Canis lupus familiaris: one gene and its partners. The protein of the gene in region 3 purifies or fractionates together with the protein of the main gene of each other region. This does not show direct contact. Links are inferred from orthologs where the notes say so. Each region holds a gene or a part of one and is shown on either strand. Other genes may lie near its edges.

Region 1 (3,500 bases), on a different chromosome or scaffold from region 3:
CCTGCTTTATCACAACCACGAAAACACAGGGAATTTCTAACAAAAACAGCTAAGTTTAAAGAAGTGATTCCCATATCAGATCCTGAGCTGAAACAAAAAATTCATCAGACGTACCGAGTTCAGTATATCCAGGATATGGTTCTACCTACTCCCTCGGTCTTTGAAGAAAATATGTTATCAACACTTCACTCCTTTATCTTTTTCAATAAGGTAGAAATTGTTGGTATGTTACAGGTGAGTTAGATCTTTTTCCTACTTACAAAGATACCTTCTTGATCCCATTAACTGTTAGCAGTAATCAGTTAATCTGTTAACTGATTTAGCAGAAGGAATTTCTGTTCCTTTTAAATACCTAAATTGAGTTTTGATTTCTGTCTAAGGGTAAGTTTTTGGTTGATATTAGAAGAGATTATAATATATACTACTGTGGGACCAGAAGGTTGTTAGGTTTCCAGCAGGGAACGTAAATGTGATAAAGAAGTCTAGCTTGGAGAAATTAGAGGGAATGAATGTTCTTAACAAATGAATGTAGAATTTTAGGTATATTGATATGTCAATTATGCATAGAGTGGATTCAAAGAGAAAGGTATAATGAGACAAGAAGTATGTCATTAAATACAGAATATAAATCTGTAGAATTGGTAGCACTGTCAGATCATTAATATTAAAGGTTTAGTTTTAGGGTCAAGGGAATACAGCAGATATTGGAAAATTATAGTTGCAGGTCTCCTTACCAAAAGGCATGCTTTTGTACCAGATGAGAGTATGGGGAAGTTGGATGTGAGTAAGGAGCTATGGCTCTTGTTATTTAATAGCTATGTGACTTGGGCAATTTTCTTAACCTTTTAAGAAGCTTTAGCTTCCTGATCTGAAGGATGGTGATATTAGTATCAACCCTGTAAGTCATCTGAAAATTAAAGAAGATCATGCATGAACACAGTGCAAGACTCTTGAGCATTATTTTGGAGCACCCATGTGTGCAAGTGGAGGTGGGGGGAGGAGTAGAGGGGGAGAGAGACACACACACATGCACACTTTTAAGCAGGCTGCACGCTCAGCATGCAACAACCCTGAGATCATGACTTGAGCCCAAATCAAGAGTCAGAGGCTTAACCCAGCTGAACCACCCAGGCACCCCGAGGATTATTTTAAAGTATCTTTTAGTAATTGCTATATTACTGAGCCTGGGTGACTCAGCGACTGAGCATCTTCCTTTAGCTCAGGGCGTGATCCTGGGATCCAGCATTGAGTCCCACATCAGGCTCCTTGTGGGGAGCCTATTTCTCCCTCTGCCTGTGTCTCTGCCTTTCTGTGTCTCATAAATAAATAAATAAATATTAAAGAAAATAAATAATTGCTATATTAAGCTCCAAATTTTCTTTCTACAATATGCCCAGTCTCTCAGGTCTGGTGTTTTTGTTTTTGTTTTTCTTAGATTCATTCATTCATTCATTCATTCATTCATTCATTTATATTTTATTTTATTTATGAATGATAGGCAGAGACACAGGAGGAGGGAGACTCGGGACTCGATCCCGGGACTACAGGATCGCGCCCTGGGCCAAAGGCAGGCGCCAAACCGCCGAGCCACCCAGGGATCCCCAGGTCTGGTGTTTTAAGGGTGCTTGTATCAGAATTGCCTAGGGTGTAGTTTCCTGGATTCTGCACAAAACACAGCAATCAAAATCTGTGAGAGCTGGCCAGTGATCTGCATTTGTAACATTCCCAAAGTTAGAAAACCTCTCAGTATATTATCCCATAGTGTAGGAATTAGTCTGTTCTAGCTGAAATGGAACTTTGAAGTTTGCATGGTGCAAAGATTTGTGAGTTGCACACCTCACCTCCTCATGTTGTTTATTTCTTGATGCTAATGATATTGGAAGAATAACAGATGATATGACTTGGAAAGACTTAAGACCTTACCTCAGATCTACAAATAAAGTAATTATTTGAAACCTCGATTTAAATAAAAGAGGCAAATAAATGTCAGAGCTGTTTGGTAGGACATGTTATGAATAAAGCAGTGAGTTTAATTTGTGTGGCTGTTCCTTTTTAGAAAATTGCTGTATTTTCAGAGTCCTTGCCTTTGTCATCTTAGAAAAACCATGAATTCAAATAGAAAAATCAGTTTTACCAATACTGTTGTCCTGGAGCTAGGAATAATTCCTGTTCATTTTGACTAATTTGATGTGGTTCCCATTCATTTAAGACTGACATGTAAATAAGTAATATAGGCAATACAGTCTGGTAAGGACAACAGTGATCTCTATACAGTGTATTATGATTGATAATGGAGGAGAGAGGTGATTCTGGTACTTTCTATTCTTTGAGAAGCATCTAGTTTTTACTGGCTACCTAGTAGAGCCTCTGTTCTGGTCCACTTTTGATTCCTGGTTTCCTTGGATAGTCCTGAGTGCATCTGGTCCTTAAGCTCCACGTGGTTCTCATTTTGTTATGCAGAGATTTGTCACTTGTGTGGTTTCTTGGTCATCATACCTGTTATATGCCAGCTTTACTCATTAAATATGAATAATTTCAAGTTGTTAAGTCTTTGTTTCCCCATATTATGCTTTGTGAATCCTGGCTGTCAATACTGTAGTTGTTTCTCTTGATGCAGGTACTTATATCCAAAGTGCTGCTATGAAGGAAAGAGAATTTTATAAATTTGTGATGATGGGTGATTGAGATAGAATTTAAAGCAGACTCTTAGCCCCCTTGTGTACACAGTCATACCCTCCCTTTAGTTTTAACTGCTCTGTATTTAATACTATTAAAAATTCTTTTTTTAAAAAACATTTTTATTCTCTCAACTTCTGTAGCCCCAAATGCAGCAGTTCAGAGACTCTTTTTCAGTCTTTTGATTTCCAGTTGGTGGGATATATTATATCTGGGATCATCTTGAAATTACATGCCATTTGAGGTATGGCTTATTTGTACATTTTAGAAAAAGTAAAAGTAGGAATAACCAATTTAGTATCACAGAAAATATTTGCTAAGTACCTGCAACAGTGAAGATGGAGTTTATAATCTAGTGGGGGATTACATACACACATAAACATACATTTATATATACATATATATATTTAGACTTAGGCATATCTGTAGGGCTGAACTAGTGTTGAATCTATTACTAGCTGAGATAGTATGGTATTAAAGTATAACACAATCTTAAAAATAGTAATGGAAAAAAATTGAACAGATAGGAAGGTGTCTGCCACCTCCTGTAGTTGGTCTTTGGGTAAATGTCTTAACTGTCTCAGTTATAACATTTGAAGTTCTAAGTTCTGTATTGACTTAACCAGATTAGTATCCTAGGAGAGTACCTCTTTAATCTTTTTCAAAATAATGCATATTGTGTGTGTCTGTATGGCATATCTTCAAATAATAAGTGTTTCTTTTAAAGCTCTGCATTTAGCTTTTTAAATAATTGAATCATTTTCTGTGTCTTTAAAATGTGAAAGAAGCTTTATCTTAATTTTTACCGTCTTTTGAGAGGTGGG
Region 2 (3,500 bases), on a different chromosome or scaffold from region 3:
GCCGGAAGGGTTTTCTCTTCAAGAGCTTTGCTATGTCTGCTGTGGTGAGGGTCCCAGAGGGCATCTTGCTTACCATGGTGGGGTGCAGGGAGGCCAAGTCCAGGTCCCAGAGCAGTGGGTTATCTGGGTCTCTCCTGCTTAATCTGCTAAGCCGTTAGTGTAGGAGTGTCCCTGGGGAAATAAATCTCACCATCTCACTAGCCCGCATGGCTGGGCTGTGACACTGACCTTCGTCTACTTCCTCCTCTTCCCTTTGTCTCTTGGGGCTCAGATCACAGAGGGTGTGAAGCCAACGCTCTCCGAGCTGGAGAAGTTTGAGGACCAGCCAGAGGGCATTGACCTTGAGGTGGTGACCGAGAGCACAGGTACTTGGTCCCTGTCAGTAGCTCAGGCCTCCAGAGGACGGGGTGGCTTGTGGCAGGCAGCCCTCACATCAACCCGGCATCTGTCCCTGCAGGGAAGGAGCGGGAACACAACTTCCAACCTGGGGACAATGTGGAGGTGTGTGAGGGTGAGCTCATCAACCTGCAGGGCAAGATCCTCAGCGTGGATGGCAACAAGATCACCATCATGCCCAAGCACGAGGACCTCAAGGTAGGTACCACACGGCCCATATGTGCGTATTGGGTTGAGAGCATGGTGTCATCATAGCATAATCTAAGCTGGCTGCCTGGTTTTAGTTTGCTTTAAGGGTGTGGGTGTCTGTGTCTGTCTGTCTGTTTTGAGAGTTTGTCCAGGCTAGCATGATGTGTCTGGGGTGAGGCTTTCTCTGGCTAGGTCTGAGGAAGTGTTTAGTCTGTGTCGTATGTTTTGGGGGTAGGCTTTCTGTGTGTGGAGTAAAGGGGTATCCAGGCTGATTTCCTGAGTCTGAGGTGAGCTGTCTCTAGGGCAGTCTGAGGGTTGTGCAAGGAGTCTGTGATTGGGTAGTGTAAGTCTGGAGTGGGTTTTGGCAAGGTCTTTTCTGAGAATATGAGCGGCTTCTGGAGATGGGGAAGCAGGTGGGCCATAGTAGCTTTTCTTGACCTGCTCAGTGTCCCCATACCCAATCCCCAGGACATGCTGGAGTTCCCGGCCCAGGAGCTCCGGAAGTACTTTAAAATGGGGGACCACGTGAAGGTGATTGCTGGTCGATTTGAGGGTGACACAGGCCTCATTGTGCGAGTGGAGGAGAACTTTGTTATCCTCTTCTCTGACCTCACCATGCACGAGGTAAGTGGGGGACTGGGGTCGAGGTGGAACGTGCCTAATGAGACCCAGGCTAAAGAGCCACTTGGACCCTGCTTCACCCTTTCCTGTTTCCCACAGCTGAAGGTGCTCCCCCGGGACCTGCAGCTCTGCTCAGAGACGGCGTCGGGTGTGGATGTGGGGGGCCAGCATGAGTGGGGGGAGCTGGTGCAGCTGGACCCCCAGACCGTGGGTGTCATCGTGCGACTGGAGCGAGAGACCTTCCAGGTGTGTGTGTGTTGTACTCAGTGGTGGGGCCTGCCTTCCTTCCTCTCCCTTGAGCTCCTCATCCTAGGGAGGTGGCAGATCGTGGTGGCTAAGATCCACACTGCTCTGAGTGGCAGATCTGACTCTGTCAGCCGTGGCTGGCTGTGTGGTGTTGGGCAGGTGGCATGTCATTACCCTCTCTGTACTTGTTTCATACCCTGTAAAATGGAGATATCGGTATCATGTATTTCGTTGAAGCCCTGAGATCAAATATTGTAAACACAGGTGCTTGCTCAAGGGCTGGGGGCTGCAGGTGCTCTCCTTTCCTCCATCTCTTCCCAGTGGACGTGGGAGTCAGAGTCCTAATGCTTAGGACCCTGGACTCTGGATTCATATCTTGGTCCTATTGCTCCATGCTGTATGACCCTGGGCTCGTGACTTGCCCTCTCTGGGCCTGAGATCTGCCCCCCCGCCCCCTTGTAAAATGGGAATCATGACCACATCCATCTCAGAGGGAAGTTTTGAGGCTTCAGTGAAATGTTGTGTGAAGAATTTAGTACATGACCTGGCACACAGAGATGGGTAAAAATTATGTTAATATTTACTCCTTTACCCATTTTTCAGGTCTCTGATGGAGTGTCTTCCCAAAAGTGTTTTGAAATGATTGGGAACATTTTTATTTGATGCAGTGCCTCGGCAGCAGTGTCCTCAGAGCCAAGGAGGCTAGATTTCCGCAGAGCTTGAGATGGTTTCCCACAAGGAAGGATCATTCCACCTTAGGAAAGCCCTACTCCACTTCGCTTCTTTCTACTCTCACAGCTCAGCATCCCCCCCTCCCTCCATAGGTGCTGAACATGTATGGGAAGGTGGTGACTGTCAGACACCAGGCTGTGACACGAAAGAAGGACAACCGCTTTGCTGTGGCCCTGGACTCAGAACAGAATAACATCCATGTGAAAGACATCGTCAAGGTCATTGATGGCCCCCACTCAGTGAGTATAACCTCCTGCCTGTTGACCACGCCTGAAATTGCTGGGGTGGGCATGGCCATGAGAGTGACCGTCCTTTCCCCACTCAGGGCCGGGAGGGCGAAATTCGCCATCTCTTCCGCAGCTTTGCCTTTCTGCACTGCAAGAAACTGGTGGAGAACGGGGGGATGTTTGTCTGCAAGACCCGCCACCTCGTCCTGGCAGGGGGCTCCAAGGTGAGGCGGGTGTGATGGCCTCCTGGCTCTTGGGTTCCTGGCTCAGCTCTCCAGCCTTCTCTGGCCCCCGCAGTGACAAGAACTGGCTTGTGGAGGGTTAGGAGAGCGGATGTCAGGCTCAGGTCATTGGTAGAGTTTACTGGGATTCTGAGCTTTTAATCAAATCATTCATCCATTCTGTTTTATTGAGCACCTGTTAGATGCCTGGCACTGGAGATAGAATAATGAACAAAAAGTCTCTGCCCTTCTAGAGATGCTACCCCAGAGACGAACAGATCAATATATACGTACATCGTACAGTGTGAGGTGATGATAGGCAATTGAAGGAAGGTTAAACAGGATAGGGAGAGAGACAATGGGGAGAGAATAACGGGGTTGCTGCTTTAGATGGGGGTCATCAGGGAAAGGTGTCTTTGATGTGACACCTGAGCAGAGATCCGAATGAAGGGGCCCAGAGCTGCCTGTCTCTGGGGAGCAGCAGATACAGGGGCTCTGAGTTAGAACATGTAGGAAAGCTGTGCAGAACCAAGTATTGGAAAGGAAATCAGGCCCTGGATCTGGGGAGCTGGGACCAGGAGGTGGTCCTCACAGCCCTAAACATTGGGCTGAGAAATTCTCCTGATTTGCAGTTTTTAGGTCACCGGGGCCATAAAGTCCTGGCCAGGGGAGGACCAGGCCTCTTGATTGACAGGCCCACACTGGCACAGGGGTGGTAGTTTCCCCAAAGGGAAATCGAGGCATTGTCACTAGGAGTTGGGAGAGATGGCTGCCAGGCTGTTCAAGCAGGAGGCAGGCAGTGGCATGGGGGCCAGGAGTCTATCACCCAGGCCCTGCCAGCCAGTTCACTTCTTGTCCCTTCCCTAGC
Region 3 (3,142 bases):
ATCTCCAACCCTGTCACCAAGGAGATGCTGTTTGAGTTCATCGACAGATGTGCAGCAGCTTCTCAAGGACAGAAGCGAAAGCATCATCTGGACCCTGACACAGAGCTCATGCCTCCACCACCTCCCAAAAGACCTCGCCCTTTGACCTAAGACCTGCCTCTGACTTAAGGATTGAGAGGAAAAATGAGTGAGAAAAAATGCTGTTGCCCCATTTTTGCAGCCAGAGAAATTCGAAAAAGAGTGTGGCTTGATGTTGATACACATTTGATTTTTTTTTTTTTTTAAAAAGAGAAGTATTGTAGCCAGCCTGTAAATATTTGATGCATTTGTTTCCTCAGTGCTACAATACATCGTGGACCTTAAACATTTTATTTATATCTGATAAACTCAGCCTTACCTTGTGAATCTGAAGATTAAAATATCCAAAGGTTTAATTGAGATTGAAATCAATGAAAAAGAGGCCTTGTTTGTATATGGATAACTTTTATCTTTAATTTATAAAGTTAGTAATCTGGAACTGTGAGCGCATAAAACATTGTATTTTTTAGAAGTTGAATTTCAACAATGGTAAATTTTCCTTTAAAAAAAAATAGGCAATGGCATTAAACATTCTTGCTATCACATCATGGATTTCCTACATTTCTGAGATTCTTGTATTCAAAAACAAATGACAAGGTTGTTAAGTATTGTACTATATTAAACAACTTGGTCTGGCATATATCATTTTAAGAAGTTTTTTTTTTTTGAAATGTAAGAGTAAAAAAGTAAAGCCCCATTTTTGTGAATTGCATACTTTCTAAAGAAGTATATTGAGTATTTTCATGTTTCTATTCTTTGAACTAAAATATCAGATATCCAATGTGTCTATTCTGGCTGTGGTTTTGAGTTAGTTCATAGAACTTAGATATACACCACCAGGTCCCTTTTATGTGTTGTTCTCCCAGGAGACTTTTTTTTTTTTCTTTTAAAAAAGACAGGGGTACTTCTGCTTTACCTCAGTGGTATTGGCACATTGTAAATTACATTAAAACACACAACTCACTGTGATTATGGGGAATGATATCAAATACAAACGATGTTGTGTTAGTTCCCTTGAACAAAACAGCAAAGGAAATGCCAGCCAACTCCTTTGATTAGAAGGTAATACCAATGGAATAGAATGCTGTCACTAGAAAATGCTCTCCCACTGCTAGATAAATGCAGAGGCAAAGCCTAGACATCTGTAGGAACTAAACATCAAGGAAGCCAAGACATTTATTTTCAAAGCCAGAATTCTATCTATGTTCTGTGCTGGGGATGCTATTTCTGTTATACATCTGAATTTTAAAACATTTACTGATAGATAATGGATTTAAAGAGCAGCTAATTGGTTATTTGCCATTGTTGAGAAGCTGTGTTCTGATTGGTTTGTGAAGGAAACTCTGAGAATTAGCCTATTAGAGGCTAAATGTATTTATTTTTAGAGGTACAGGTTTTAAGTATGTGTATTTAAAACAAATTTTCATGATCTAAATTTTATATATATATGCATATATATGTCAGTATATGCATCAATGTATATTCTTCTACTAATAACAATCAGACATGAAAAATGCAAATGAGTTACCCAGCAGACTGAATATCTGACAGGATTTCTATATATGATATAGCACAGATTAACCAAAAATGTATTTATATTCACCTGAGTTTTAATGTTTTTAAACAAAGTTTTCTCCTGCAGCGCTTTTCTATATGAAATATTAGAGTCATGCTTGGGCTTTTTCCTTTGTTCTTTCCAAGTTATGTAATGTGTAGTGAATGTATCCAGAATGTCATTTTAGTATTTCATTCCTAGAGTGTTTTTTTGAGTTTGGGTACTAAAGGGATTCAAATACCTGACTGCCACAATGACTGCTGAAAGGTGGAAATTTGTCAAGGTTCCATAGTGTCTTGTACAGAGTGGGTCTGAAAAAACACCTATGCAACTCCAAATAGTCTGATGCCTGCTTCACCAGGATTAGTGACTCGTTTCACATGGTATGTTGTTTTCTTCCAAGCCTGTATAATGCACAGTCCTTCTGCAGATATAAGAGCTAGTTTTTGCCAGTGATCTTCAGTGGAGTTAAAATGTTTATGGTAATTGTAACCTTTTAAATGAGTTATGTGAAAAGAGCATCTCATTTTTAATATACCCAGATATTTTTTCCTTGCCTTTGTGCATTTTCCAGGATTTAATTTTCTTAATTTGTTCTTTCCTTTCAATTACAGTGAAGTATAATAGCCGACCTAATAAGTAGATCCCATTTGGCCCCTTTAACACACTATCATCTGCAGTATCATAAAAAGTCATCTAGAAAGTCAAGGGGGGAAATCAAGAGGCAGGAATTGGGACAGCAAGAAGGACAGAAACTCTTCCCTTCTCAGTCCACTTCACAATAACCATTTTCTGACACTGAAGTTTTATATAGACAACAGTAAGAAAACTTTGCTTTCCTGAGTTATCAAATATAAAAGCTTTTGCTTTGAATTTGGAAAAGATATGGATGACTTGACTGCCTGGATGGTTACATTTGCTTTCCGTGAAATGCTCAGAAAATGTCAGGACATTCCTTCTCTAATTGTGTGTCAGTGTGTATTGTAATAAAACTACTGATTTAAAATAACAGAAAGCGTATCTACTTTGTTTTGCTGGTGATGCCTTTGTGTCCCTTTATTTAACAAACGATTTTGTGTCCTTTCTTTTGCTGACATTATCCTGCCTGTCATCCATACCCAATGTTATCCATCTGGTTTTGTTGCATTCTAGAATTAACATAAAGACTTGGAACATCCTCTATTTTTCTTCCCCAGAAACCAAGAAATTGAAGTGACATGGGAAGTATAGTTTGCACCTTTTCTTTTTGGAGTGTAGGGGAGCGGGGAGAAAGCCCATCTCTAAATGATATTTGTAGTATTTCTATTTGTCCACCTCATCATCTTAGTACCCTGTAGATACTCTGTTACATCATTTTTAATACATTTAATTTTTTCAGCAGTAAATACTCTAAAGTAATGAAGTAATGACCTATCTGATTTTTTGTAGTATGGAATTTGCCATTTTTCATTTTTAAATGATGCCATTTGGAACAATGTGTATAGTCCTTTATAACCAAAAGACCTTGAG

The links.
Region 1: the proteins of RNGTT (region 3) and PPP4R3A purify together in Homo sapiens (affinity purification with mass spectrometry; 3 studies listed by BioGRID and IntAct, with this or other methods). This does not show direct contact. The link is inferred for Canis lupus familiaris from reciprocal best matches to the Homo sapiens genes RNGTT and PPP4R3A.
Region 2: the proteins of RNGTT (region 3) and SUPT5H purify together in Homo sapiens (affinity purification with mass spectrometry; 3 studies listed by BioGRID and IntAct, with this or other methods). This does not show direct contact. The link is inferred for Canis lupus familiaris from reciprocal best matches to the Homo sapiens genes RNGTT and SUPT5H.

What each region holds. Positions count from the first base shown.
Region 1 is NC_049229.1:62,651,110-62,654,609, reverse strand, and holds part of PPP4R3A (serine/threonine-protein phosphatase 4 regulatory subunit 3A), read left to right. Parts: coding exon 1-234; intron 235-3,500. UniProt on the Homo sapiens protein: Regulatory subunit of serine/threonine-protein phosphatase 4. May regulate the activity of PPP4C at centrosomal microtubule organizing centers.
Region 2 is NC_049222.1:114,552,066-114,555,565, reverse strand, and holds part of SUPT5H (transcription elongation factor SPT5), read left to right. Parts: coding exon 1-44; intron 45-271; coding exon 272-365; intron 366-457; coding exon 458-594; intron 595-1,053; coding exon 1,054-1,209; intron 1,210-1,305; coding exon 1,306-1,452; intron 1,453-2,276; coding exon 2,277-2,423; intron 2,424-2,509; coding exon 2,510-2,635; intron 2,636-3,499; coding exon 3,500-3,500. UniProt on the Homo sapiens protein: Component of the DRB sensitivity-inducing factor complex (DSIF complex), which regulates mRNA processing and transcription elongation by RNA polymerase II.
Region 3 is NC_049233.1:48,159,525-48,162,666, reverse strand, and holds the end of RNGTT (mRNA-capping enzyme), read left to right. Parts: coding exon 1-150; 3' UTR 151-2,642; downstream 2,643-3,142.